Callithrix jacchus: one gene and its partners. The protein of the gene in region 5 purifies or fractionates together with the protein of the main gene of each other region. This does not show direct contact. Links are inferred from orthologs where the notes say so. Each region holds a gene or a part of one and is shown on either strand. Other genes may lie near its edges. The genes, in order: GSK3B, TRIOBP, PPP1R12B, PPP1R12C, PPP1CB, YLPM1 and RAI14.

Region 1 (3,500 bases), on a different chromosome or scaffold from region 5:
CTTAGAAAGGGTTTATAGGATTCTAGTTTTCCTCCTGTTTGGAAGACAACTGAATTTATACAAATACAGCCACCAATTCATTTCCAGGTTTAAAAAATTGATCCAAACTCTACGGAAGCAAGAAATGCTACTATTTTAAGTTTCAGATCCAAACTTAAAGATGAAATTGTACATCAATCCAATTAGTGATAAACTTCACTCACTGAATTCTCTGTAACTTCTCATGTGCCAACATTATATTCTGCTAAAAATTAAAAGTTTTCCAATAGGCATAGCTTCTTTATGTGCTAGTCTTTTGTTCAAAACCATGTAAGTAGTGGCCAGCAAATCAGAAAGAATAATCTTTTCACCTTCATAAGTACTTAATATGTCCATTTTTGTCCTCCACATATTTTAATTAATGGAATGTCATTTCACACCCAGTGTGTAGCTTTCCTAGAAATGGTGAAAGAGCTAAGTATTTGGAGTTACCTTGAGTGGTGAAGTTGAAGAGTGCAGGTGTGTCTCGCCCATTTGGTAGTTTGACATTTGGGTCCCGTAATTCATCAAAAAATGAATGTGCACAAGCTTCCAGTGGTGTCAATCGGGCAGTTGGTGTATACTCCAGCAGACGGCTACACAGTGCAATCGCCTCTGGTGGAGTTCGAGGTCGGAAGACCTGCAGTACAAAAAAAGGGAAAGAATAATTAATGTTATATGAATCTAGGCAAGTACCCTGTGAGTAATGACTTAATTCCTACCATGTACAGAAACATGGTTGCATTTGGGAAAAGACCTTCTAGAATGGAAAGAGTTAAGTGCATATGCTTCACAGTGGTGAACTGCTGATTAAGACTATATGAGAAATGCTCGGAGAAAAAAATCTATATATGCTAACCATAAAGCAATACAATCAGACATGCATACAAAATATGACAGGCACATGGGAAAGGCTACATTCTGGAGGCAAGCACAACTAGAAAAACATTTTTAAAATTTTAAAGTTTTCACTGCTATGGCAGTAAATAAAAGTTTGCCTCTTTTGCATTTTTTTTTTTTTAGCAGAACAACTGTCAATGATGGGCAGCATTGTTGAAAAATCTGGCAATCAATATCTTAAAAGAAAGAAGAGCTATTTACTCTAGGTCTACAAATGCTACTGATTTGATTATCTCCAATAAACAGAGCCTATCATTATTTGAAGAAATTCTTGAAAAACTAGAATTTGATAAAATGTCCTATATTTTTTTCTCAAGTAGCTATTACCATCGATGTGGCCAGATTTCCCTCATTTGAATAAATATTCCAAGGTTTTAATCAAGGAGAGAAAAATATATTATCCATTAAGAATGATTGAGACATGGAAAAAGTCAACTGAAGGCTATATTGAAGGAAAGTTCAATTAAATTAATCTACTTAAAGGAGTAGATAGCTTTCTACTCATTTGTGTCTTAAATAAAATAAAACTAATCAATAAAAAAACTATAGAAATATACTTAATTCTAAATTATGACCAGCTACAAAATAAAAATAAAAAGGGAAGGAATAGAAATAAACAGATGAGGAACTTTTGAACTAAAGAAAAATGAGACATATATCCCTTGATAGGAAGAACACACAACCAAATAAAAGGTGTGATGATGGAGGTGGACAGACAAGTAGACATGTATAAACGGAGGGAAATGGACCTATAAGTCAGAAAAGCCCATTCATATTGTGACAGGGCATGAAGCAGCCTGGGAGACTAAGATTTTCTAGTAAGATTGGTTAATGTAACATCTGGTTGTTCACTTATGCTGACAGTCAGTAGAACTAGTTACAACCACAGAGCTCATTAGACTTTCCAGAGACTATAAGTATTGTCTACAGTGAAAAGATTTTATTTTAGTTTATTATTGAAAAAGACATTTTCCATGAAAATTGAGAAATTACGTAAAGTAGGCTCTTAGAAATTTATTTCAGAACATTAAGGTCTTAGTCAATTTCTTGGATATGTGAAAAAGAAAACCTTTTTATAAGGTCAAAACCTGCCTTATCTTTATTCTTTTGAATACTCTGACTTGCCTCAGTCAAGAAAACCTTTGAGTTATTGAAATGTTTAGCTCTTCCACTGTTCTTGTCCCCTCTCTTGCTCCCAAAGTCCATAATCAAATACAGAATGTAAAAAGAAAATAATCAGTGGGAGAACCCAGAAAATTTTCATAAAAATATTAAACATTATTGGTATATTTTATCCCTGAGGGCAAGTTTGCTTCTGTTTGATGGTATATAGATTTATTTTGCTAGCTAATCCAAAATGTTTTTGCACCAATATGGCAGCACATAAGTGGAATTAAAAGTAGCACCAAAGGAAGAAATAAGTATCTCCCGCTAACTTTCAAATGTAGGATAGATGGATGGTGAGTTATTTTAAATAAAAAATTTTCATGTTATATTTTCCAAGATTTTGTGTTAAAGCTATTAATAAACCAGTATTATAAGCTTATTTTCAATATTTTTTTAAGTCACCCATATATTTTGGTGTTTTACTGGCTACAAGTGATCATCCATATTGGTACTAAAATATTTATTAGCATATATTTGTCAGGGAATCTTAACTCATGAAGTTCAAGAGTTAAAAACTATAAAGAAAATAATACATTCCAAGAGCCTACATAAAAATCAAGATTTAACCTGCCTTTGCAAAAAGTATACATTGTTATTTTAAACCCTTAAGAGATTCTTGATGAGAAAAGCCTTGGTTCAGTACTCAGTGAATAAAGGTTAAGTGGAAAATTAAGTGGGGCCAAAACCCAGTATCTCCCACAGTTCAGATTTCTGACCATAATACAGTGTGAGTTAGCACACAACTTCTAAAAATTATAGGGAAAACTAGAAACTAGCTCATCTGAATTATTTCTGCTTCTAAAGAAAAGGAAACCACCAAGAACTGAAATGTGTCTTTTAATTAAAGAAGCTTCTGCTGTCACTTCTTTCCTTACTCATTGACATTGCTTAACACACAGACCTTTGGTTTCATGGATCTTCATCAATATTTATTCTTGCAATAGAAATAATAATTTTAAACCCCCACAATTCCCAAACTTCAGCCTAGATGTCTATGAATCACCCAAGAGACTGACAATCTAAATATATTATAAGCAAAACCTATGCCATACAGTGAATAAAAACAGAAATCGCAGCTACTTACATCGTTTACTATTACATTTCAAGAATGAATAATTGTTTAGCCTTTCAAAAAAGGTTTCCCCCAAGTTTTATAGACCTGCCCTGAAATTTTGGGAAAAAAAAAAAAATTAAGTACATACCCGTACTCCTGAGGTGAAATGTCCTGTTCCTGACGAATCCTAAAGATGATAATGCAGTGAAATAATCCAAACAGGGGAAGTCAATCCAAAAGAGAATAGTCCAGCAAGGAAAAATATATCCAATGTTATAAGAAATCCATGGTGTGGGGGGGACATAGAAAATGTTTATACAGTTATAAACTTTAAACATCAGTCTCCACAGTAGCAAGTCCA
Region 2 (2,211 bases), on a different chromosome or scaffold from region 5:
GAACGGGAATTGGAGGCCAGAGGAAGGAAATGCCCTGGCTGGGGTGGCCCAGGGAGTCCCAGGTGTGGGAGAGCCTTAGCCCCGGCCCAGCCTGCAGGGTGCACGCCTCGGCACCCACCTCTACTCAGCCAGGCTGTTACGCATGGCCTCCTTTTCCTGCAGGGCGGCCATGGCAAGGCGCAGGTGCTCCTTCAGCTGCTCGATCTCCCGTTCCGACCGCGTCTTGATGTGGCTCAGCTCCACGTAGACGTCCTGGTACTTTCCCGAGGTGAAGCGCTTGTCCTGCATGGCAGGAGGCAGGTATGAGGGGACGAAGCCTCTCCCTCCATCCCTGCCCACCTGGCACTTGGGCAGCACCAGCAGCCAGACCTCCCTGTAGCCCCCTTGCTTCAACCATCCAGGTGGCTCCCCTAGGTGGCCCTGTTCTTGGTCTTACCCCTCCCACCTCCCTGGTACCACCCAGGGACACAGGCGTAATTGGCATCCTCCTCCTGTTTAGGAGGAGATTTTGCCCAAGACTGAAGGGCAGTGAGTGGTTGGGATGAGAACCAGGTCAGCCTGGCCGGGTGCTCGGGCCCTTCCCGTGAGTTCACACCACCTGTTCTTCAAGCACGGTAAACTCGTTCTGGCTCAAATATGCTTAAAGAGTCCACTTCCCGCCCCAAACTGACAGCACCAGGCAGGGACACAGCAGCTAAGGGTGGGCCAGGTGGGTGACAGACTCACACCTGGGCTGAACCCCGACACGCCCAACTCCTAGCAATGTGGCTATTCTCCCTTGAGTGCAAGGTCCACACAGCAGAGATCTGGGCTATTTTGTTCCCATCTGTCTTCCCAGCACCCAGCGCAGTGTCTGGGACATAGTACGTGCTCACTAATCACCAATAAATTAAATAATGCTAAATAAATAGAAGCAAGTATGGCCTTCGGCAAGTCACTTCCCCATTCTTAGCCTCAGTTTCCCTGTCAGTGAATGGGGATGACGACACCTACATGGGAGAGGCACAGGAGAGCCTGAGGAAGGATGAGGCAAGTGGAGGGCTTGGCACAGAGCAGGTATTCACAGGATGGCACCCAGGTGGCTCCAGAGGCCCCCGCGACCCCCACGCCCAGTGGCAGGGCCTACCTTCTGCATCATCTGGAGCTCGTCCCGGAGGCACTGCACCTCCTTCTTCAGGTACTGGAGTTCGTTCTCTTTTACTCGAAGCAGCACCTGGGGATATAGGTGCCAGGCTGACCCAGGGCCAGAAGGCAGAGCTACCCTGGCCCACAGCGCCCTGCAGCCTGCCTTCTCTCTGCCTCAGGCCCCTAGAATGCAGCCCCTATCTGCACCAAAACCCTTGACATGCTGGAGTCAGATTCCTCCAGGAAGTCCTCTTTGGTTCCCCTGCTTCCGCTTCCTCTACTCTCACCCCTGTCCAGCCTGTGTGAGTGGCTATCTCACAGTCAACTCTGCTGCAGCCCTCATGCAGCACCAGGCTCTCACCTCTGGGTTAAGGAAGATGAAAAGAAGCCCTACATAAACCTGGGCGGCTGGGTCACCCCACAGGCCACCTCACTAACCCCTCCCCAACCCTGAGGGCCAGGTGCTGCTGACTTGACCATGGAAGAAACAAGTTCAGCCAGGACTGGGGAGGCTTAAAAGGCTCAGACTGGAGCCAGACTGCCTGGTTCAAGTCCCAGGCCAGCTGTGCAAGCTTTGGTAAGGTACGTGCTCTCCCTGTGTCTGTCTCCTCATCTGTAAATGCGGACAGTAACAGTAGCTAACGTATGCAGCTGTCAGGAAGATTAGGTAAGTTAACAGACCAAAAGGACTTAAATTCTAGGCAGAGGGTGAACCTCACCTAGGTGTTAAGAAATAAAATACTAAGGCTAGGTGTGGTGGCTCATGCCTATGATCCCAGCATTTTGGGAGGCTGAGGCGGGCAGATCACAGGAGTTCAAGACCAGCCTGGCCAACATAGTGAAACCCCATCTCTACCAAACGTATAAAAAATTAGCTGGGTGTGGTGGTGAGAGCTTGTAATCTCAGCTACTGGGGAGGCTGAGGCAGGAGAATCACTTGAGCCGGGGAGGCAGAAATTTCAGTGAGCCGAGATTGTGCCACTGCACTTCAGCCTGGGTGAGCGAGTGAGACACTGTCTAAAATAAAATAAAATACTAGAGTGATCCTCGGATCACACACACATATTTTCTTACCCCAGTAAGGGA
Region 3 (3,500 bases), on a different chromosome or scaffold from region 5:
AACTTGACAAGCTTATTCACTTGTTATATTGGTTTATATGGCTGTTGTATATTTCCAGTTTTTAAATTATTTGCCAATTTACTGAGTGCCCACCATGTGCTTACATGTGCTTCTCACTGTATTAGATACTGGGAATCTAGCAGGAACATACAAATGAGTCCCACACTAGTTAGGTCTTTCTTCTCTTTTCCTCAGTAATACTTCTCGAGAATGTGCAAAATTCATGGCACCATGCAGGACTCTTTATTTTAAACTCAACTGAAAGGATGGTGGCCAAGAGTAGTATGATATGCCTCAGCACAGACCAATCCACTTACATCATTTGTCCAGAAATTGATGCCTGTGCCTCTTCGCCGTTCCTTGGGCCGCCTCCTCTCTCGAATGGACAGCCTCTTAGAGGACTGCTCATCCAAATCTGCTTCTTCATTCTCTGGCCAGAGATAAAATAAAGTATGGACTTTAAGAATATGGGGGATGTGCACTGTGGAGGGGCCTGTGTCTTTTGAAGCTCCACATACCATTTTTGTCCATTTCCTTTGCAGTTGTAGTGTTTGTGGTAGTCTTTGAACTCTCAGAATCCGGGTCTGAGAATCTACTTGTCCGTAGCAGGTGGGAACTGGAACTGGTGTAGAGTGAGGGTCTTGATGTAGAAGGAGACGATGGCGTGGTGGGTTTATCTGTCTGAGTTGGACACCTCAGGCGACGACAGATAGGCTAGAAATAATCCACACATGAGATATCAGAAGTCAAGTCCATCTAAAGGATAAGAACAGCAGGTTTATACAAAATGTTTTTGTGGGTCAAGATGGCCAGGGAGAGACCTATGTTGATTCCAGCTAAATAACTGTAAGCTTGCTTGACTCAGAATACACTGAAGTTTATACACTGAACTAAACTACATTATTGGGGCAGTTAATTAGAAATCAAGCGGCAACAGAGGCCTAAGGTAAAGACCATCCAAGAGCGCAGTAATACCGGGGAACACCTTGGGGTGGTTGCAGAGCAGGGAATACTGCTCTGGTCCCACAAATGCCTTCTCAACATGGACACTGTATAAGGGCCTCATAAAGAGGGCTTATGCAAAGATCTCTGAGAAGGGAGGCGACCTGTGCTCACAAGATCGGGGAGAGTCTTTGCAGATGGGAGCTGGCAAGGAGGAGAAAAGCCTTGCAGGGCAGAGATCATGGAACACCTCAGACTCTGCCTAGGTTCTCTTAATATGGAGTGATGTTAATTGCTCTATGTCCTCAGTGCTCAGGAGATAAAAGCCTTGTTGCACTGGGTGTGGCTCCTAATCTGCTATACTGCTGATGCAGCCGCACCCTGATAACAATCTGTGACAAACTCAGAGTACTAGTTTAGCACATTTGTCCCCCGGACCCATGCTGTAAATTCTACTCTTGTGTCTCTGTCTTTATTTCCTTTTCTCAATCCCTCATCACTGCCAGGACTAAGGGCACCCACTTATGGGGTTGGGCTGGTTCTCAACATTTTTTTTTTCATATTGAGAGGCTTATGAGTAGATGATGATCAATACTGAGTACCTGGTAATAGGCACTCAATAAATGAACTAGACAGCAAAAAACCAGCTGCTGGACTCCTACTCTGAGAATCCTATCATGTTGGGAGTAGTCCAAGTAAATTATTCATAAATTGACCAAAGGGTACTAGATAGCATTAACCGTGTAAATAAAAATTCCTTTGATCTTGGAATGAAAATAAGAATGATGGCCTTTTTTAAGATAGAGTGCTGAAAGGCAAGGTTTATGTAGGGTAATAAAAAGCTCAGAAGCATGAAGCAGCAAAATGTAGAAATTGTCTGAGAACAGAGAACAAATGTGAGTATCCTACCAAGTTCTGAACACTCTACCAGCTTGCCATAACTAGGCTTTCTAAAGTTTCCATTTTCATTTTTGTAGTGTTTTTGTTTTTGTTTCTTTCCTGAGAGTTAGGACAGATAGAGCCTAACAATAAGCCTTAACTTGGTTTATGGAAGACTCAGAGATAGATAAATTCTTACTATACATTAAATTTATGGCATAGCGATTGTACAAACTTTTGTGATTTATAAAGACAGATACAATAAAATGTAGTAAATTTGGAGTCCGACAATCTTTGTTCAAATTCTAGCTTCAGCATTTACTAGCTGTGTGACCTTGAATAAGATACTTAGCTTTTCTGAGCCCTAACATCCTCATCTATAAAAAGATATAACAACTTCTTCAGAGAGGATTATGAGGATTAAATAAGAAAATGTGCATTAGGTGCTTAGAAGAATACCTGGTAATAGGTGCTCAATAAATAGTAGCTTATAAAACAAACAAATACAAAATAGAACTTCAGTTTATGGAATCTATCCATTCAGAGTCACAAAGCAAGAAGGAGATTCCTTTCTTCTATAACCACAGTGACCATAACATTAATCAGTTCAAACTGGGACACTTTTGAGAGTGCAAAAGAGTGGTAATGATAATTACACAAAGACAACAATTATACTTGGAACCACCTTAAGTAAACCAGGAGTTATGTTCACCCTAAATATAATCTTAAACCTCTGACTACCAACTCCACTAGAGCAATGAAACATAAATCAAAATGACCCTCCCAACAGTGACACCCACGAGTGCTTTGTAAGCCCTTAGGTTTGCAAGAGTTTGAAAAACAATACACTAGTGGTTAAAAGAGCAAGTCAGACTGCCTATGTTCAAACTCTGGCTTAACCACGTCTTACTGTGTGAAATGTTGGGCTTAAATGTCCTTAACCTCTGTGATTCAGTTTCCTCACATATAAAATAGAAATAGTAATATTTACCTCAGAGGGTTGTTATGAGAATTAAATGAATTAATACATATGAAGAACTTAAAATAGTGCCTGGCATAAAGCAAGCATGTACTGAGTAAAGTAAACACTCAATGCATGCTTACATTTTTATTTGCATTTTGTTATACTATGACCTCCCTTTTTAGAAGAGGACATTTATTCAAAAGCGTCACGGAACTCTCAGAAGAAAAAAATGATCATTTAAGGACTGACATCCTCCAAAGTTTTGTCACACAGGTTTGCCAACTAAAGACAGGCATACAGAGTGAGTTGTCCACTGCAAGGCAGAACATAGCCTTTGAACTATCAGTGAAGAAGATACTCCCCAAACTAATTACCCTGCTTTTATCACAGTACATGCCAGCAAAAATGAGCTCACCTCTTCATCCAGACTCCTGCCCCAGGGCTGCTGGCCCTCCCCAGCTTCCGTTGCTGGGACTGCTGAGGGCTCATGCTTCTCAGGGCTCCCCTCAAGCCCCCCTTCAGTGTCTGTGGGCTTCTCACAAGGCTGCTCCTGAGCTTGCCTCTCTGCCCTCGACCGGCTGAAAGTCCTTTCTGCTTCTTGAAGATCTGTTAGGGTGACACCCTGGGAAAATATCACAAGATCAGGGCTGTTTCATACTAACCATGGAATAACTCTTGATGATTGAGCAGGAGTATTCCCCAAAAGATCAAATAG
Region 4 (3,500 bases), on a different chromosome or scaffold from region 5:
GATTCTATACTGTATGATTCCCTTTATGTGAAGTGTACAAAACAGCAAACCTACAGAGACAAAGGGCAGAGAGGGCTGTCTGAGGGCGGGGTGACATCTGAGGGGATGATGAGAATGTTCTGTAGTCAATGTGGTGAACGTGTGAATATACTAAAAACCCTGAAGTGCGCACTTTGGGTGAATTGCAGGGTATGTGAATTACATCTCAAAAAGCTATCTAAAAAAAAAGAAACTGGCAAGTCTCAGTGTAAGTCACATGGGTACTCATAGGCTACTGTTTCAACTTTTCTGTAAATATGAAACAAAAAGTTTGGGGAGGGAGGAGAGAATCCAGCTCCAGAGTTGATTTCAACCACTCCCCATTTTAACGAAAGAAAGGCTCCCAAACTTCAGATCTCCGCCTCCATGTGTCCCATAGCTACTTCTCCCATGTGGCTCTCGTGATCCCGAACCCACATGGAACCCTATCCTTTTTCAGCCTGGCCAGCGACCCTGGGACACCACGTCAGAGACGTGAAAGCCTGCTGGTATCTTCATCACTCTCCCTTTCCTTCTAAAGGGTCTGGAGCCTGCCAGCACTAAGCTCACACCTTTCCACTGACACCCAACCAGACCCTGACAACCACCCCAGGAGGCGGTGCCTGTAGTCCTGTTTCAGGAACTAAGGGAAGCGAGCTTCAGGGACATGCCTGGAGTCAGCCAGTCACTGGCAGAGCTGGGAGGCAAGCTCAGAAAGTTGGACTTTAGAAGCCACACTGGGGACCCAGGGATCCTCAGTGATCATCACACACCTGCCAGAAGCAACACCCCTTCCCTGGAGAAATGAACTGGCCAGGCAGATTCAGGGGCTCTTGGACCCCATATGAAGGCTCCCAGGGTACCAGTCTCAAAGGACAGGGAGACCAGCCCCTGGCAGCCCCTGCATGCCTCTACTCCCCCCGAAGTAAATACATCCCTTCCCAGAAAGACCTGCCGCAGGGTCCCAGCAATCCCACCTAACGCACTTCGGGCGAGTCCCCCCAGCCCACCTGCCCCCCACCCCCACCCCGGCATTTCAATTCCCTCAGTTACTCAGGGAGTCCAATAATACTTCCAGTTGGTAGCAGCTTGAGTTCTCATCCTGTGCCTCCAATGGGCTCCAAACAATACTGGAGGCAGGTCCCTATGCCCCCATTTCATAGGTGAGGAAACTGAGGCTCAGAGAGAGACAAAGACTCCTGGGAAGCAGGGTCAGCCTTGGAGCCCAGACAGCCTCTAAAATTCTCAGCCTGGAGGCCACAGGTGAGGAGGGGCCCCCACCCCACACGAAGCACACCAGAGCCCACCTCGGTGGGCGATCTCCGCCTTCAGCAGCCCCTCCATGGCGTCCGACTCGGCTAGGTCCAGGGGCAGGTCCCCGTCACTGTTGACGGCGGCGATGTTGGCCCCATGGCTCAGGAGGTACCTGGGGGTGGGGGTCAGTCAGGGCTGAGGGTCCAGGTCCCCACCCTGACCAGGTCCTGCCTGGCCCTCCCTTGCCTCACCTGGCGATGTCTAGGTAGCCACAGGAGGCGGCCACGTGCAGGGGCGTCCAGCCCTCGTTGTCTGCCTGGTTCACAGTGGCGCCCTGCTCCACCAAGAAGCGCACCACCTCCAGGTTCTCATCAATGCAGGCCTGGGGGTGGGAAACAGCCGTCAGCCACACCTCCCCCAGCCACATCGTCCCAGCAAGGCAGGGCTCCAGAGGAGCCACAAAAACAGACCCAGGGACACGGTGCTAGTGACAGTGGGGAAAATGACCCAGCAGCCTCTAGCCACCAGCTGTTTCAGACACCCTGGCTGCCCAGTGGTCAGGTCAGCCAGGCCTTCAGCGCTCAGTGGAAACCACAAAAGGACTCCTGGCTACATGCAAACAGAAAGTGAACGGGAAGGGTTGGGGCTTCTCATCCGGGTGTGGGAATCCCACATGGTACTTGTTAGACACAGCAAAAGCCCCGTCACCACCCACAGGGTGGCGCTTCCAGTGCTCAGACTAGGGAAGAAGTTCCAGCCCCTCCTCCTTCAGAGCCAGGAGTCCAGGTCCCCAGCCCCTCCTGCCTCAGACCTAGCCAGGTCCTTCCAAGGGTCAGGCCTAGAAACAACCCCAGCAGATACTCTGCAGGAAGGTCACCCTGTGCTGGGACAGACTCAGGGGCCTGGACAGCACTCCCTGAGGGGTGAGGCAGCTGCACACCTGTGTGCCCAGGGCCCAAGGCAGTCACACTCCTGGTCACTGAGGCCCACTCTGCACGGGGCAACTGCAGCCAGGGGCTTACATGCGCCATCGTTGCTCATTCTTCCGCTAGGAGTCAAAAACTTGGGGAGACAAAAGCCAAAATCCAGGGGCCAGAGGAACTGACCTCAGGCCTTGTGGACACTGGGTGGGCCCTGGGACCTGAACTGGAGCTGAAGGAGGAGTGAAGCTAAACGCCTAGATCCAGGGGCAAATTAGCCCCCCAAGTCGCTCACCTCTCCACAGCTGCCCATCTGGAGAAGCGGGAGGGAGCTCCGAGGGCCAAGAGCATGAGGTCATGGAAACTCAGGCTGCAAGGGGGGCCGCACGTGCCCTGGGAACGGGATGAACTGCGCTCGTTTATTTCCACCCAGTTGTCATGGTGATGGGGGGGGCAAGGAGAGAGATGGGCCTTTCCCTTTCAAGGACCTGCCCAGCGCAGGCATCCTTGTGAAAGATGCCTGAGGCCTGGGCACCAGGGACTCAGGAATCCAGGCCCAGTCCCTCCTCCATTCAACCCAGAAGTCCAGGCCCCAGCCCTTCTGCCCTCAGATGCAGGAGTCCAGGTCTACAGCCCCTCCTCATTCAGACCCAGGGGTCCAGGCCCAGCCCCTCTTCCCTCAGACCCAGGAGTCTAGGCCCCAGCCGCTCCTCCCTCAGACCTAGAAGCCCAGGCCCCCAGCTCTTCTGTCCTCAGATGCAGGAGTCCAGGTCTACAGCCCCTCCGCATTCCGACCCAGGGGTCCAGGCCCAGCCCCTCCTCCCTGAGACCCAGGAGTCCAGGCCCTAGTCCCTCATCCCTCAGACCCAGGAGTCTAGGCCCAGTACCTCTCCCCTCAGACCCAGAAGCCCAGGCCCCCAGCTCTTCTCTGTTGAGCCCTAAGGATCCTGTACCCAGCCCCTCCTACTCTAGCCCCCAACCCCCTAGCCACTAAGGCAACTGGGGGGCAGGAATGGGGTGAGTGTACCAGCCTCACCAAGTGGTTAATAAACCCACCTGGGGTACCCTGAGAACTCAGGAACAGCCACAGCAGGGGGCTGGTGCTTGGGGACCTGCCCTGAGACGGATGCAGAACGAGAAACACATTCCCAGATGGACAAAGTGGCCGGGACTCAATCAAGAGTCACCCAGAGACAGTGACCAACCGTCCCTGTTTTCCTGGGACTGAGGGTTTCAGCGCTAAAACCAGGGTGTCCTGGGCAAACAGCATAAGCTGGTCACCCCACACCCAGACCTGACCCAAACCCA
Region 5 (3,964 bases):
GGGGGCACTGTCAAACTAAATATGCTTCCGTAGGATGTAGAAATAATGAAACTCTACTGATAGAATACTACTCTCTGTCTTATGATGAGCAAAGGACAGAGAGGAGGCTGAAAAAGCCTGAAAGTCACTTGTTTATACTGGGAGCTCCTTGAGTGAAGAGATTGTGTCTTATCTTTGGATTCCTGGTGCCTGGTAAGGAGGAGGTCAACATGTTAACGCCTGCTAAATTAAGAGAGAAATGTGTCTGGACTACAATTCTTACGCCCCCCAAAAATGGAAAAAAGATTGTATAAAACCAATTATTCAATTTGAATTCACAAAAACAAACGGAATCCCTTAAGCTATTTTTCCCAGTGTCTTTTTTTCCAGTAACCTTGCACAACTCACTCATGAAGTTTCTGAAATACCTATAATCATAAAAGGTGCATCTAACCTAAGAGGATACAAACATTTTAAAACAAGTCTGGTTTATGCCTATAAAATATATGGAAAATTAAATAAAATATAAAGAAGTTGAGATACAAACATACTTTTAAAATATTTAAATTTACAAGCAAAGTTTAAAACATACAAAAATGGGATGGGTGCCATGGCTCAAGAGGTCAGGAGTTCAAGACCAGCCTGGCCAAAATGGTGAAACCCTGTCTCTACAAAAATACAAAAAAATTTATCCGGGCATGATGGTGGGGTACCTGTAATCCCAGCTACTAGGGAGGCTGAGGTGGAAGAAGCGCTCGAAACTAGGAGGCAGAGGTTGCAGTGAGCCAACATCCTGCCACTGCACTCCAGCCTAGGCGACAAAGCCCTCCAGCCTGGGCCACAGAAGGAGACTCTGTCTCAAAAAAAAAAAAAAAGTAGGCCTATCCTTCCCCAAATGTAAATAAGACATACACATTTTGAAATTAACTGCATTTCCCTCATAGAACAGTTAGAAAATACAAATTTTTTCAAAGCAAATTTCCTCAAAGAACCAGCAAGATGTTCACATCTGTTCACAAAGTCTTACGTAGTCAACACTGACTGCAGGCACCAGGGGGCCTCCCAGGAATAACTTGATAGTAAAGGAAGAGGTAAATAAGAGTTCCTGGTAAAACTTTTGCTTCAGTCTTAAGACTGCTGGATGGCCTTCACATCTGGAGCAAATATACCCTAGTTACACAACCAGTACTCAAAAAACTTGTGTTTTAGATACCAACACATTCGTTGAAAAAAAGGAAATACCCCTTCCCCATCACAATCTTCTTTGATGATTTTCCAATTATAAGTACATTTTGCTTCACTGTAGCAAACAATTATCTTCAGGTAATTTGAAAGCAAACAGTACATATGCAATCCTTGGACGGCAGCTAACAGAGGCCTCCAAATTGCTAAAAAAGGTTTAAAGGCTTTTCTACACACTCACAAATTAGTGATGACACAAATTTTAGGGTAGAGGACTGTTTGGCAGAAGACTGCATTTAACTTGGAATAACATCCTGCAATGAATCAATAACATTGAACTCCTGGCTAGTCTACCTCTTCATTTTCCCCCCTTACCTTCCCACCAGCATAGAACTATTCAATCAAAACACTAGGGCCCAGAAAGCTCAAATGCTGCGTAGACTTGCAGATACCTTTTGAACATAAGGCAGGCTTTAAAAATAGGTATTCACTAAGTTTGTGCAGAAATTAAGCTCTGCTCAAATCAAACGCAGAAGCCTTCAGCAAAGGCATCTCCATACTTCCCATGTCTTACGTGCATCTTCAACCTGATCACATATTTTGTCTTACAAATTTTTTTTTAGGCCAAGAAACAAATGGCGGAAAAAATTCCCGCTAATTTTATCCTCTCTTTAATAAGAATCCATTCTGTAGCATCACGTAAAAATGCAGAGCAGACGAAGCAGTCCTCATGACAGGTACATATATACACACACATAATTCACTCCCGAAACGACAAACGGAGGCAGCCAAGGGCAATGCACAAAGAGAACAGAGAAGAAACGGATTCCATCGACACAAAGCCCGGCGGCAGGCATCCTCTCTGCCACCTCGGAGGGGTCACCGGAGGCGAGAACGACGGCGCGCGGAGCCCGGCGGCCTTTCCGAAAGGCTCTTCCGTAGACCCGCTCCGCACAGCCTCCAGCCAGCGCACCTGGCCCCCAAGGGTACGCGGGGACGGCCCCCTCTCCCCCGATCGCACTCCCGGGGGCCGCTCCCCAGCGTCCAGCAGCCTCCTCGCCCCGCCAGCCGCGCCGCGCTCCCAGAGACTCGTCTCGGGGCGGGAAAGGGGTCCCGTCGCGTTTCGGCGGCGGAGGGGGACGCTAGGGGTCGGCGGCGACGCCCAGCCTCCCTCTGTGTCGCGGCCCGGCGCGCACTCACCCTCCAGCAGCCGGGTGATGAGGCTGTCCACGTTCAACTCCCCGTCCGCCATCTTGTCGGCACAGACTCTCCTTCCCGGCAGCGGGAACAAGGGCTTCTCGGCGGCGGAGGCTTCGGCGACGGCTCGGCGTTCTCTCACCTACAAGTCACGCGGCGTTTCGACCCCGGCTCCAACTCCCCCTTTTCCCGGGCCCTCCCCCCACCCCCTCCCCGCCGGGTAGCAAGAGCGCGCGCACAGTCGGAGGCACCCACGGAAAATAAATAAATAAACAAGAGGGGCCCCCACGAACAGGGCCGCGTCAGACCCAGGCCGCCACCTCCTCCTCGGCACCGCCCAACTCCGCAAAGCTCACCAGCGCCGCCGACGGCCCCACCCGCAGCGCCACTCACTCCGCACGGCCCTTGCCCGCCGCCGCGCAACGCAGTTCTCTGCGCAAGCGCGCGGCGCGCTCCTCGCCGAGGTTTGCCTCGACGCCCGGGCCGCCGCGCAGTCGCACTGGAGCGGCTTCTCCCGTCGCCGTCTTCGCGCAGGTGCGTCGCCCTCTCTCTCCATGTCCACGGCGCCAAGTCTCGCCGCGGCGGCGCAGGCGCCCGGGAGGTTCCCCGGCTTTGCAGCGCTAAGGAAACCCGGGTTACGCTGGGCGCGCTGGGGCAGGGCTGACCTTCCCATTTCTCTGCTCCACCGGCCCTGGTTTCTCCGCAGACTTGGTGGTTGCGCCCTTTCGGCCTCGCTTTTCTTTTCTTGGCTTCATCCCCTGCACCTGCAAGCAGTTCCTCGTGTTTCTTTCGTTAGCCGAGAAACGCGAACTGCAGCGTTTAGAACCCGGCTTTGCGCGTGTGGAAAGCAATAAAGGGTTACTCTGCTGGAGTTCGACATTGCAAATAAAGATCTTTATCCCCTGCGGTTCCACAAAGCTAGTTCCGCAGGCATTCTGGTTGAAGGAAGAGTTAAAGTGGGCCCTGGAGGAGTCAGCAATAATACAGTATTCATGGGTGCAGATGACTGCCTGTGTCTAGCGCTTTCTCTTATCTTAAATCTCCATCCACACCGTGGGTTTTTTTTTTTCCACGGTGTGTTTCTGTTCCTGTCTCCAGTATATTGCTTAATCGTCATCCTACCTGGTAATTATTTTTCCTTTTTTCTCCCACTCTCGACTCAGCTCCTAGGTGATAAAAACACACTAACTTACCTTTATGCCCACTGCACCCACCAAGTGTTTCCATCCCATAATACCGCCTCTAGAAAGGCAGGAGGAGAAGCAGTCAGGCTAAGGATCTAGGCAAGCCTAATCTTTTGTCCTGTTTTAGGAGGTGGCCAGCCCTTACTCATTCCACAGGTGTTTTTTTCCAGACCTGATGTTGCCCCAAGCCCGAAGCAGTGCCTCCCCAACTCATGTATCGCTTATAGTAGCTGACATTTGTTCAGATCCCTGGATGGGCTCTGGCACGGTTGTGTGTGTGTGTGTGTGTGTGGTTTTCACTCACGTTGTTTCACTCTTGTTGCCCAGATTGCGGTGCAGTGGCGCAATTTCGGCTCGCTGCAACCTCTGCCTCCTGGGTTCAAGCTATTCTCCTGCCTCAGCCTCCCTAGTAGCTGGGATTA
Region 6 (3,500 bases), on a different chromosome or scaffold from region 5:
GAAGACACACGGGATAAAGGACTAGTAAACAGAGGTCGTGGCCAGGCAATCAGTCGAGGCCCAGGATTGGTCAAGCAAGAAGACTTTCGGGATAAAATGATGGGTAGGAGAGAAGACAGTCGAGAGAAGATGAACAGAGGAGAAGGCAGCCGGGACAGAGGGCTGGTGAGGCCTGGAAGCAGTCGGGAGAAAGTGCCAGGTGGTCTGCAAGGCAGCCAGGACAGGGGTGGAGCTGGCAGCCGAGAAAGGGGACCACCTCGGAGGGCTGGTAGTCAGGAGAGAGGACCTCTTCGAAGGGCCGGGAGTAGAGAGAGTGTACCACCCCGAAGAGCTGGGAGCAGGGAGAGAGGACCACCTCGAGGTCCTGGCAGTCGAGAAAGGGGACTGGGAAGATCAGATTTTGGTCGTGATAGAGGTCCATTCAGACCAGACCCAGGAGATGGTGGGGAAAAAATGTATCCATATCACCGAGATGAGCCTCCTAGAGCTCCATGGAATCATGGAGAAGAACGAGGGCATGAAGAGTTCCCATTAGATGGTAGAAATGCTCCAATGGAACGAGAAAGACTTGATGACTGGGATAGAGAGAGATACTGGAGAGAATGTGAACATGACTATCAAGATGATACACTAGAGCTCTATAACAGAGAGGACAGGTTCTCAGCACCACCATCTCGATCTCATGATGGAGACAGGCGAGGCCCTTGGTGGGATGATTGGGAGAGAGACCAGGATATGGATGAGGACTACAATAGGGAAATGGACAGGGACATGGACAGGGATGTGGATCGGATTGGAAGACCCATGGATATGTATGATAGAAATTTGGATAATGAGTGGGACAGAGATTATGGGAGACCACTGGATGAACAAGAATCACAGTTTCGTGAACGGGATATTCCATCTCTTCCACCTTTACCGCCCCTCCCACCTCTTCCACCTTTGGATAGATATCGGGATGATAGATGGAGAGAAGAAAGAAATCGAGACCATGGGTATGATCGAGATTTCCGTGATAGGGGTGAGTTGAGGATTCGAGAGTATCCAGAAAGAGGAGATACATGGCGGGAAAAGCGAGATTATGTTCCTGACAGAATGGACTGGGAAAGAGAACGGTTGTCAGACAGATGGTACCCATCTGATGTGGATAGACATTCCCCCATGGCGGAACATATGCCCTCCTCACATCATTCCTCAGAAATGATGGGGTCCGATGCAAGCTTAGACTCTGACCAAGGCCTTGGAGGGGTAATGGTTCTCAGTCAGAGGCAGCACGAAATCATTTTGAAAGCTGCACAAGAACTGAAAATGCTTCGGTAAGTTGACTCCTTCAGATCATTTCTTTTAGTAAAAACCACATTCAGACTGCTCTTTTTAAATGATATGATATATTTGAATGTAATCATTTTACTTCAACTTCTTAACACATACTTTTAATTTATATTTCTGGTCATTCAGTGCTGTTTTTAGGGTTAGGATGAGTATTTAAGAACTGTGTTAATTATAAACATATGCCCTAAAATGTGAAAATTAATTGCTGTCTTGGCTTTTGTAGATGTGTTGCTGGCATGCCATGCCGCATGTTGTAGGTGTCAAACTTCAACTTTTCAGTGCTCTGGATTTCACAGGGCTCATGTGTAACCTTCATTTTTTCCAGTAAGCAATTTGTTCTTTGGTATTAGATCTGATAGACTTTATATTCACTGATCATTGAAAAAACTTTGGGAAGTGCTGTATTTTTTTGTATTTTTCTTTGTTGAAGCTAAGAATGGTTTGCTTAGAAGCATCCTCAGATTTGTCTAACTACTGATACTTTCTTTTTTGGGATGTTTTGTCTTTCATTATAACTAAAAGCAGATATTTCTCCTTGATGATGGTACTTGTTTCTATGTAGCCAAATATTTTCTTTGTGAAATGGAAAATAGGATATTTTGACTTACAATCTACTGTGTATCGGTATCTACGTAATTTTCCTGTTACAGTAACAATAATAACAAAAGCTAACATTTATTGCATGCTTACTCTGGGCCAGGAACTGTCCTAAGTGTGTTGTGTATTATAACTCATTTAATCTTTAAACCAGCTATATCTTGGGATAGGAATTTAGAAGTCAGTGACAGATTGCAAGCTTTTTTAAAGCAAATTTTTTTAGAAAAATCAATTAATGATTAGGTTTTGATAGATTCCAATATATTTCTTCCATTTTTCAATTCTGGTTTATATTTGTGGATCTTACCAATAAATTATAACTTAAACTTTAGAACTAGGAAAGAAAAATGTGGTGAAGAAACAGTAATGATGAAAGATCAGATACGGCAGGTTTCTGTGGTCTATAGCTAAAAGGTTTATTTTTTCCAGGTTACTCATGAGGAAAATGTAGAAAGCATGCTATAGAGTGTATAGCTACCACACTATTCACTTTTAAGTTGTGGACACCTTTAATTTAACACCTACCATGTAACTGGGCACTTGCTGATAATTGAGTGTATATTATGCTAGTCTGTCTATCTCAAATTCTTCTATCTCAAAGGCCTGCAAAGATAAGATAGTATTATCCCCACTTCACAAGTGACACTAAGGCTCAGAGAGGTTAAGTTCTCTTGGCTAGTAAGTGTCAGACCCAGCGTTTAAACTCAATCTGTCCAACTCTAAAATCTGTGTTGTTTATGGAGAATACCAAGCTGATTGGTGTTGTTAAGCTGCCAAGGTTTCTTTCTTTTTCCTTTCGAAATTTCTTTTTAATTCATTATTGCTTTGCATGGCAATGCTGGGTAAAAGGTGCTGCTGCTGTTTCATCCTTTTTTAAAGCTTTCTGGGCAACATGAACATAATTAAATAATATATATGGAGTGATAGATAATGTGGTTATAATTGAAGACAAGTAGGTTATGTTATGTCAGTGTAAAGTTATAAGGAGTATCATAAGGGATGTGATTTACCTGAGCAGAAAATAGTCTTACATACTTGACCTTTTGGGTTCATTTGGGTCACTTACTTTACTGTGAAGAGAAAATTGTAAGAGGTCTTAAGAAGTTGTAGTGGATTTTACCCATGTTTAAGGTGGACATTATGAAGAAAAGTAAAAGGAATTTAATCAGAAATTTAAAGAAAAACTGAAGGACTACATAATTATCTTCAGGAAGATGAAGTGTTGTTTTTAAAGATATAGACTGACAGTTGTTTTCACCATCTACAGCAGGGGCCATAAATTAAAATGTCCCCAACAATCAGATAACAAAAATGAGTGAAAGTGGGCCAAACTTTCTAGAGTATGGTGAAGATTGTGACACGTTGTTTCATCTAACATGGGCAGCCTTGCTGCACTCGGCTGATTGTTGGCATGTGGGAATGTAGGACTGGTGTTACCAAATCTCTTTAAGGTTTGAATTTATATGTGAAATATTTTGCTTTGTAAATAGCTAATTCAAATTTTAAAAACTGATGTGAAAGCCACATTTTTTTTTTTTTTTTTTTTTTGAAAGCCACATTTTTTTTTTGAG
Region 7 (3,500 bases), on a different chromosome or scaffold from region 5:
AGTTAGCACATATATTCAGTATTAGAGTATTTGCTGTTTGTAATTTCTTCAAGAACCTAGATGTGTAAATAAATAGAACAACCAAACATACACTGTTCGTCAAAAAACAGTGACAACGTATTTTTAGAAAAAAAAAAAAAAAAAAAAAAACCAAACAGTAACAGGGCAAATTCAATTTCTACTTTCTGTAACACTATATGACATTCTAGAAAAACCCTAATTAAAAGAAGAAGCTAAATTCTCTTATTACCATTAAATAGCTAACGTTTTCTGGATTGCAGGTCTGTAGCTCATGTGATATTACAGGTACTTCAAACACTGTTATTCATTCGCAGAGTTTAAGCCACATCAAACATGTTCACACCAATAGGAAGTATGAGTTAGTATATTTCAGAAAAAGATGAACATATAAGTAGCAAGTTTAACGTTACATGCTTTTGAAATAAAGCAAATTATTAAGAAAACCTTTACCACCTTTAACAGTGAATCATTTATTTCAAAGATATTTCAGTCCTTAAGTATTTTCAATACAGTCTTTATTATTTTACTATTGGACCACAGAGTGGTTAAATCTGAACACAGTGGTTAAATCTGAACTTCAGAATTCCCACAAGCATAAATGAAACAAAAAGCCTCCCCCAAAGATAAATACCTGCTTTGGTTTTGTTGAGGTCTTTAAATCTAAAGAGGAAAAAGTGAAAAAAATAACTATAAGAACCATAATGATTCATATTCACTTTGGGTAGGGGGATACACACACACCACCATACACAATAGTTTTTAAGACTCAATTTTTCTTCAAAAATGTGTTTTAAAAATAACAAAATATATCATATTGCACACATTCCTTTATCCTTTGGGGAAAATGGAGTAGATAAATTTAAAACAACATTGGCTATTTTCTTTCACATACCAGCATCCTGAGAGATTTTTGATAATAGAAGGCTTTGAATTCCTGCATGTTCTGAGAGTCTGGAATAATGTAAGGCATTGTGTCCAAGAGAATCTACAAGGGTTAGGTCTGCACCCTTTTTAATTAAGGCTTCCACAATGTTAGAGCTGCCAATCTCACAGGCCAACATGAGAGCAGTTCTAAAGGAAAAGGGAGACACAAAATTAGTACTAACGAAATGTGCAAACTCTTTCCTGGGAAATCAGTTGTCTTAAAAAAAGAGAGAGAGAAAGAAGATTAAGTGCAGTTAAACCTTTATTACACTTAATCTTTGGGGAATTTGAAGTGGAATGCTATCAAGATGAAATTAGGCATTATTTTTAAAACTTCAGATTAAATCAAAACATTAAACCATATTTAGTCAAACAACATAATCTTCTATACTATTTGGCATAATATGATGGGATTTAATATGACTGGCATGAATCTTATCCTTTTTCATCTCAAGCACTTTAAATAACATATACGCTGCTAAGACCATTTCTCCAAACCAACCAATCGGTTTATTTCATTTTGCATAGAAAGTCACAGGAAATTGCTTATTCATGTTAGCATATAATAGTCTCCTCACAGACTTAGCCAGCAATGATGTCCACAGATGTCTGGGGAAAATTGCTTTTAGGTCAACATAGATTCTTGATGATCAAAAACAGTAGAACTTTAAAAAGGTAAGGAGTTTAAACCCCTTTATAACAAATGATCCAAAATATAGCTGTGATATTTTGAAATACTCTCAGAATGTGGATATCACTGAAGTCACATGATTTCTGCCTAATTCTGGGGTACCTTCCACTTTTGTTCCTGGAATTGACATCTGCTCCATGATCCAGGAGAAAGTGACAGATCTCACTGTGACCATTTTGTACAGCAAGAAGCAGCGGTATATTCCCATCCTAGGAGACAAATTCAGATTTAGATTTTAACTCAGGCACAAAATGCCAGAATTGCAAAAGTCAGCCCCTGTTCTTTGCGCATGCTTTTCCTGACTTAGACTGCTGATCTAATATCTGGTCCATCTTGATATTGTGTCCCTATAGAGCCACATGTGTATGTCAGTACAACTCTTCTTAGGGAATTTCACTGAATGCTAGCTTTTCCATAGCAGCTCTAGCTTCTTGGGCTGCTTGTTCCCGTGGCTATCACTGTTTGGGTGATTGTGAGAGAGGGTAGAACACAAAGTGTGTAAAGGCTAAAGGCAAGTGTACCATGTGTACTGAGGGATAATGCTGGAGAAAGGAAGGACGAATCTCTGCACGACATCAGAAGATCCCACTGCCCTATAGGCAGCTTCTTCCCCATGCACTAATGATTATATATCCTGCCATTCCACTCTTAACCAGAAAGTATACTTTTTAGTAATCTTGCTAGGTATAAAAACATAACATAAATTAAGAGCCTATGTCTATTACTAACACATGACTAGATAAAGAGATGCATAGAAAGAATAATATGTCATGACAATTGCAATGCCTTTAGGAAGAAGGAAATCTAGGTCTCCAACTCATATGCAAACCATGTCAGGTGGATTAAACTTTTAAACATTACAATATAAAACAAATGATGAAAACTACTAGAAGAATATATATACGTATTTTCTGTAATCTTAGGCCTGACACAAATAACACAAAACGTAAAGAGAAGTATCCTTTACGTTTTTTTTTTTTTTTTTTTTTTTTTAACAACAATTCACAATTCACAAGGGCTCTTCTGTACACAACATTTAATAGGGAGGTGGGAGGGAACAACAAAGGCAGAGTTGGGGCATCAGACCAGGGCAGGGCTGCAACTAGGGAGAAGAAATCAGTTAGCAGGCAGGCTACTACAAGCAGCAAATGGAGAGCCCTCTCACCCAGCCAACTCCAGGAGCTTCTCTGGTCCCTTGTGCTCTACCCTGAACCTTAGCCCAAGAGCCTGTTCCTCATCTTCAGCAAAGGACAGCAGGGCAGGACCTGAGTTGGTCTCTTCAGGGGCTGTCTTGAAGATGGCTGTTTTAGCAGAAATGAGGCTGACCAAAGGTTTCTACAAGGCACCTTGCATGGACTCTGGGGGTTGTAGAACACATGCCGTGACATCCATGCATTGGAGACCTGTATTTAAACATGGGCTAGCTGCCCATCCTGGGATCTTTGGCTAATACCCTTACCCTGGGTGCCCCTATCTGAGAATGATACTTTGGGCTGTTGAAGAGCCTATCTGAGGAGCTCTTGGGTTTCCTGGTTAAGTTGTAAAGTCATTCTGCCAGAAAGGTTATTACTGCAAAGTCAGGACCTGGTGGGCTGGGCTCACCACACCCTTCCAGCTCTGATTCCTTGGTATAAATGTTCCTCTTGAGATGGATGTGTGTCGAGGTGAACACCGAGAGCACTTGGCTGTAGCTGGGAATAGGGTAGGCAGGATTTGCTCTTGGTCACACTGGAAGGATACCCAGACCATACCCAGACACTGTTCTGGGATACAGTGTCTGAATCCTCAGCAGCCACTGCTCCTGAGGATACCTATTTAGGAAATACATGCTTCAAAATGTTCTTCTAATGCTTTAGAAACCAGT

The links.
Region 1: the proteins of PPP1CB (region 5) and GSK3B purify together in Homo sapiens (affinity purification with mass spectrometry; 3 studies listed by BioGRID and IntAct, with this or other methods). This does not show direct contact. The link is inferred for Callithrix jacchus from reciprocal best matches to the Homo sapiens genes PPP1CB and GSK3B.
Region 2: the proteins of PPP1CB (region 5) and TRIOBP purify together in Homo sapiens (affinity purification with mass spectrometry; 3 studies listed by BioGRID and IntAct, with this or other methods). This does not show direct contact. The link is inferred for Callithrix jacchus from reciprocal best matches to the Homo sapiens genes PPP1CB and TRIOBP.
Region 3: the proteins of PPP1CB (region 5) and PPP1R12B purify together in Homo sapiens (affinity purification with mass spectrometry; 4 studies listed by BioGRID and IntAct, with this or other methods). This does not show direct contact. The link is inferred for Callithrix jacchus from reciprocal best matches to the Homo sapiens genes PPP1CB and PPP1R12B.
Region 4: the proteins of PPP1CB (region 5) and PPP1R12C purify together in Homo sapiens (affinity purification with mass spectrometry; 3 studies listed by BioGRID and IntAct, with this or other methods). This does not show direct contact. The link is inferred for Callithrix jacchus from reciprocal best matches to the Homo sapiens genes PPP1CB and PPP1R12C.
Region 6: the proteins of PPP1CB (region 5) and YLPM1 purify together in Homo sapiens (affinity purification with mass spectrometry; 3 studies listed by BioGRID and IntAct, with this or other methods). This does not show direct contact. The link is inferred for Callithrix jacchus from reciprocal best matches to the Homo sapiens genes PPP1CB and YLPM1.
Region 7: the proteins of PPP1CB (region 5) and RAI14 purify together in Homo sapiens (affinity purification with mass spectrometry; 3 studies listed by BioGRID and IntAct, with this or other methods). This does not show direct contact. The link is inferred for Callithrix jacchus from reciprocal best matches to the Homo sapiens genes PPP1CB and RAI14.

What each region holds. Positions count from the first base shown.
Region 1 is NC_133516.1:82,946,573-82,950,072, reverse strand, and holds part of GSK3B (glycogen synthase kinase-3 beta), read right to left. Parts: intron 3,327-3,500; coding exon 3,288-3,326; intron 659-3,287; coding exon 472-658; intron 1-471. UniProt on the Homo sapiens protein: Constitutively active protein kinase that acts as a negative regulator in the hormonal control of glucose homeostasis, Wnt signaling and regulation of transcription factors and microtubules, by phosphorylating and inactivating glycogen synthase (GYS1 or GYS2), EIF2B, CTNNB1/beta-catenin, APC, AXIN1, DPYSL2/CRMP2, JUN, NFATC1/NFATC, MAPT/TAU and MACF1.
Region 2 is NC_133502.1:208,776,827-208,779,037, reverse strand, and holds part of TRIOBP (TRIO and F-actin-binding protein), read right to left. Parts: intron 1,214-2,211; coding exon 1,127-1,213; intron 283-1,126; coding exon 121-282; 3' UTR 119-120; intron 1-118.
Region 3 is NC_133520.1:29,524,376-29,527,875, reverse strand, and holds part of PPP1R12B (protein phosphatase 1 regulatory subunit 12B), read right to left. Parts: intron 3,408-3,500; coding exon 3,201-3,407; intron 715-3,200; coding exon 519-714; intron 431-518; coding exon 318-430; intron 1-317. UniProt on the Homo sapiens protein: Regulates myosin phosphatase activity. Augments Ca(2+) sensitivity of the contractile apparatus.
Region 4 is NC_133523.1:47,976,420-47,979,919, forward strand, and holds part of PPP1R12C (protein phosphatase 1 regulatory subunit 12C), read right to left. Parts: intron 1,655-3,500; coding exon 1,524-1,654; intron 1,445-1,523; coding exon 1,326-1,444; intron 1-1,325. UniProt on the Homo sapiens protein: Regulates myosin phosphatase activity.
Region 5 is NC_133515.1:86,290,010-86,293,973, forward strand, and holds the start of PPP1CB (serine/threonine-protein phosphatase PP1-beta catalytic subunit), read right to left. Parts: upstream 2,801-3,964; 5' UTR 2,614-2,800; intron 2,501-2,613; 5' UTR 2,414-2,500; coding exon 2,362-2,413; intron 1-2,361. UniProt on the Homo sapiens protein: Protein phosphatase that associates with over 200 regulatory proteins to form highly specific holoenzymes which dephosphorylate hundreds of biological targets.
Region 6 is NC_133509.1:109,711,145-109,714,644, forward strand, and holds part of YLPM1 (YLP motif-containing protein 1), read left to right. Parts: coding exon 1-1,316; intron 1,317-3,500. UniProt on the Homo sapiens protein: Plays a role in the reduction of telomerase activity during differentiation of embryonic stem cells by binding to the core promoter of TERT and controlling its down-regulation.
Region 7 is NC_133503.1:170,831,362-170,834,861, forward strand, and holds part of RAI14 (ankycorbin), read right to left. Parts: intron 1,846-3,500; coding exon 1,739-1,845; intron 1,093-1,738; coding exon 914-1,092; intron 682-913; coding exon 653-681; intron 1-652. UniProt on the Homo sapiens protein: Plays a role in actin regulation at the ectoplasmic specialization, a type of cell junction specific to testis. Important for establishment of sperm polarity and normal spermatid adhesion.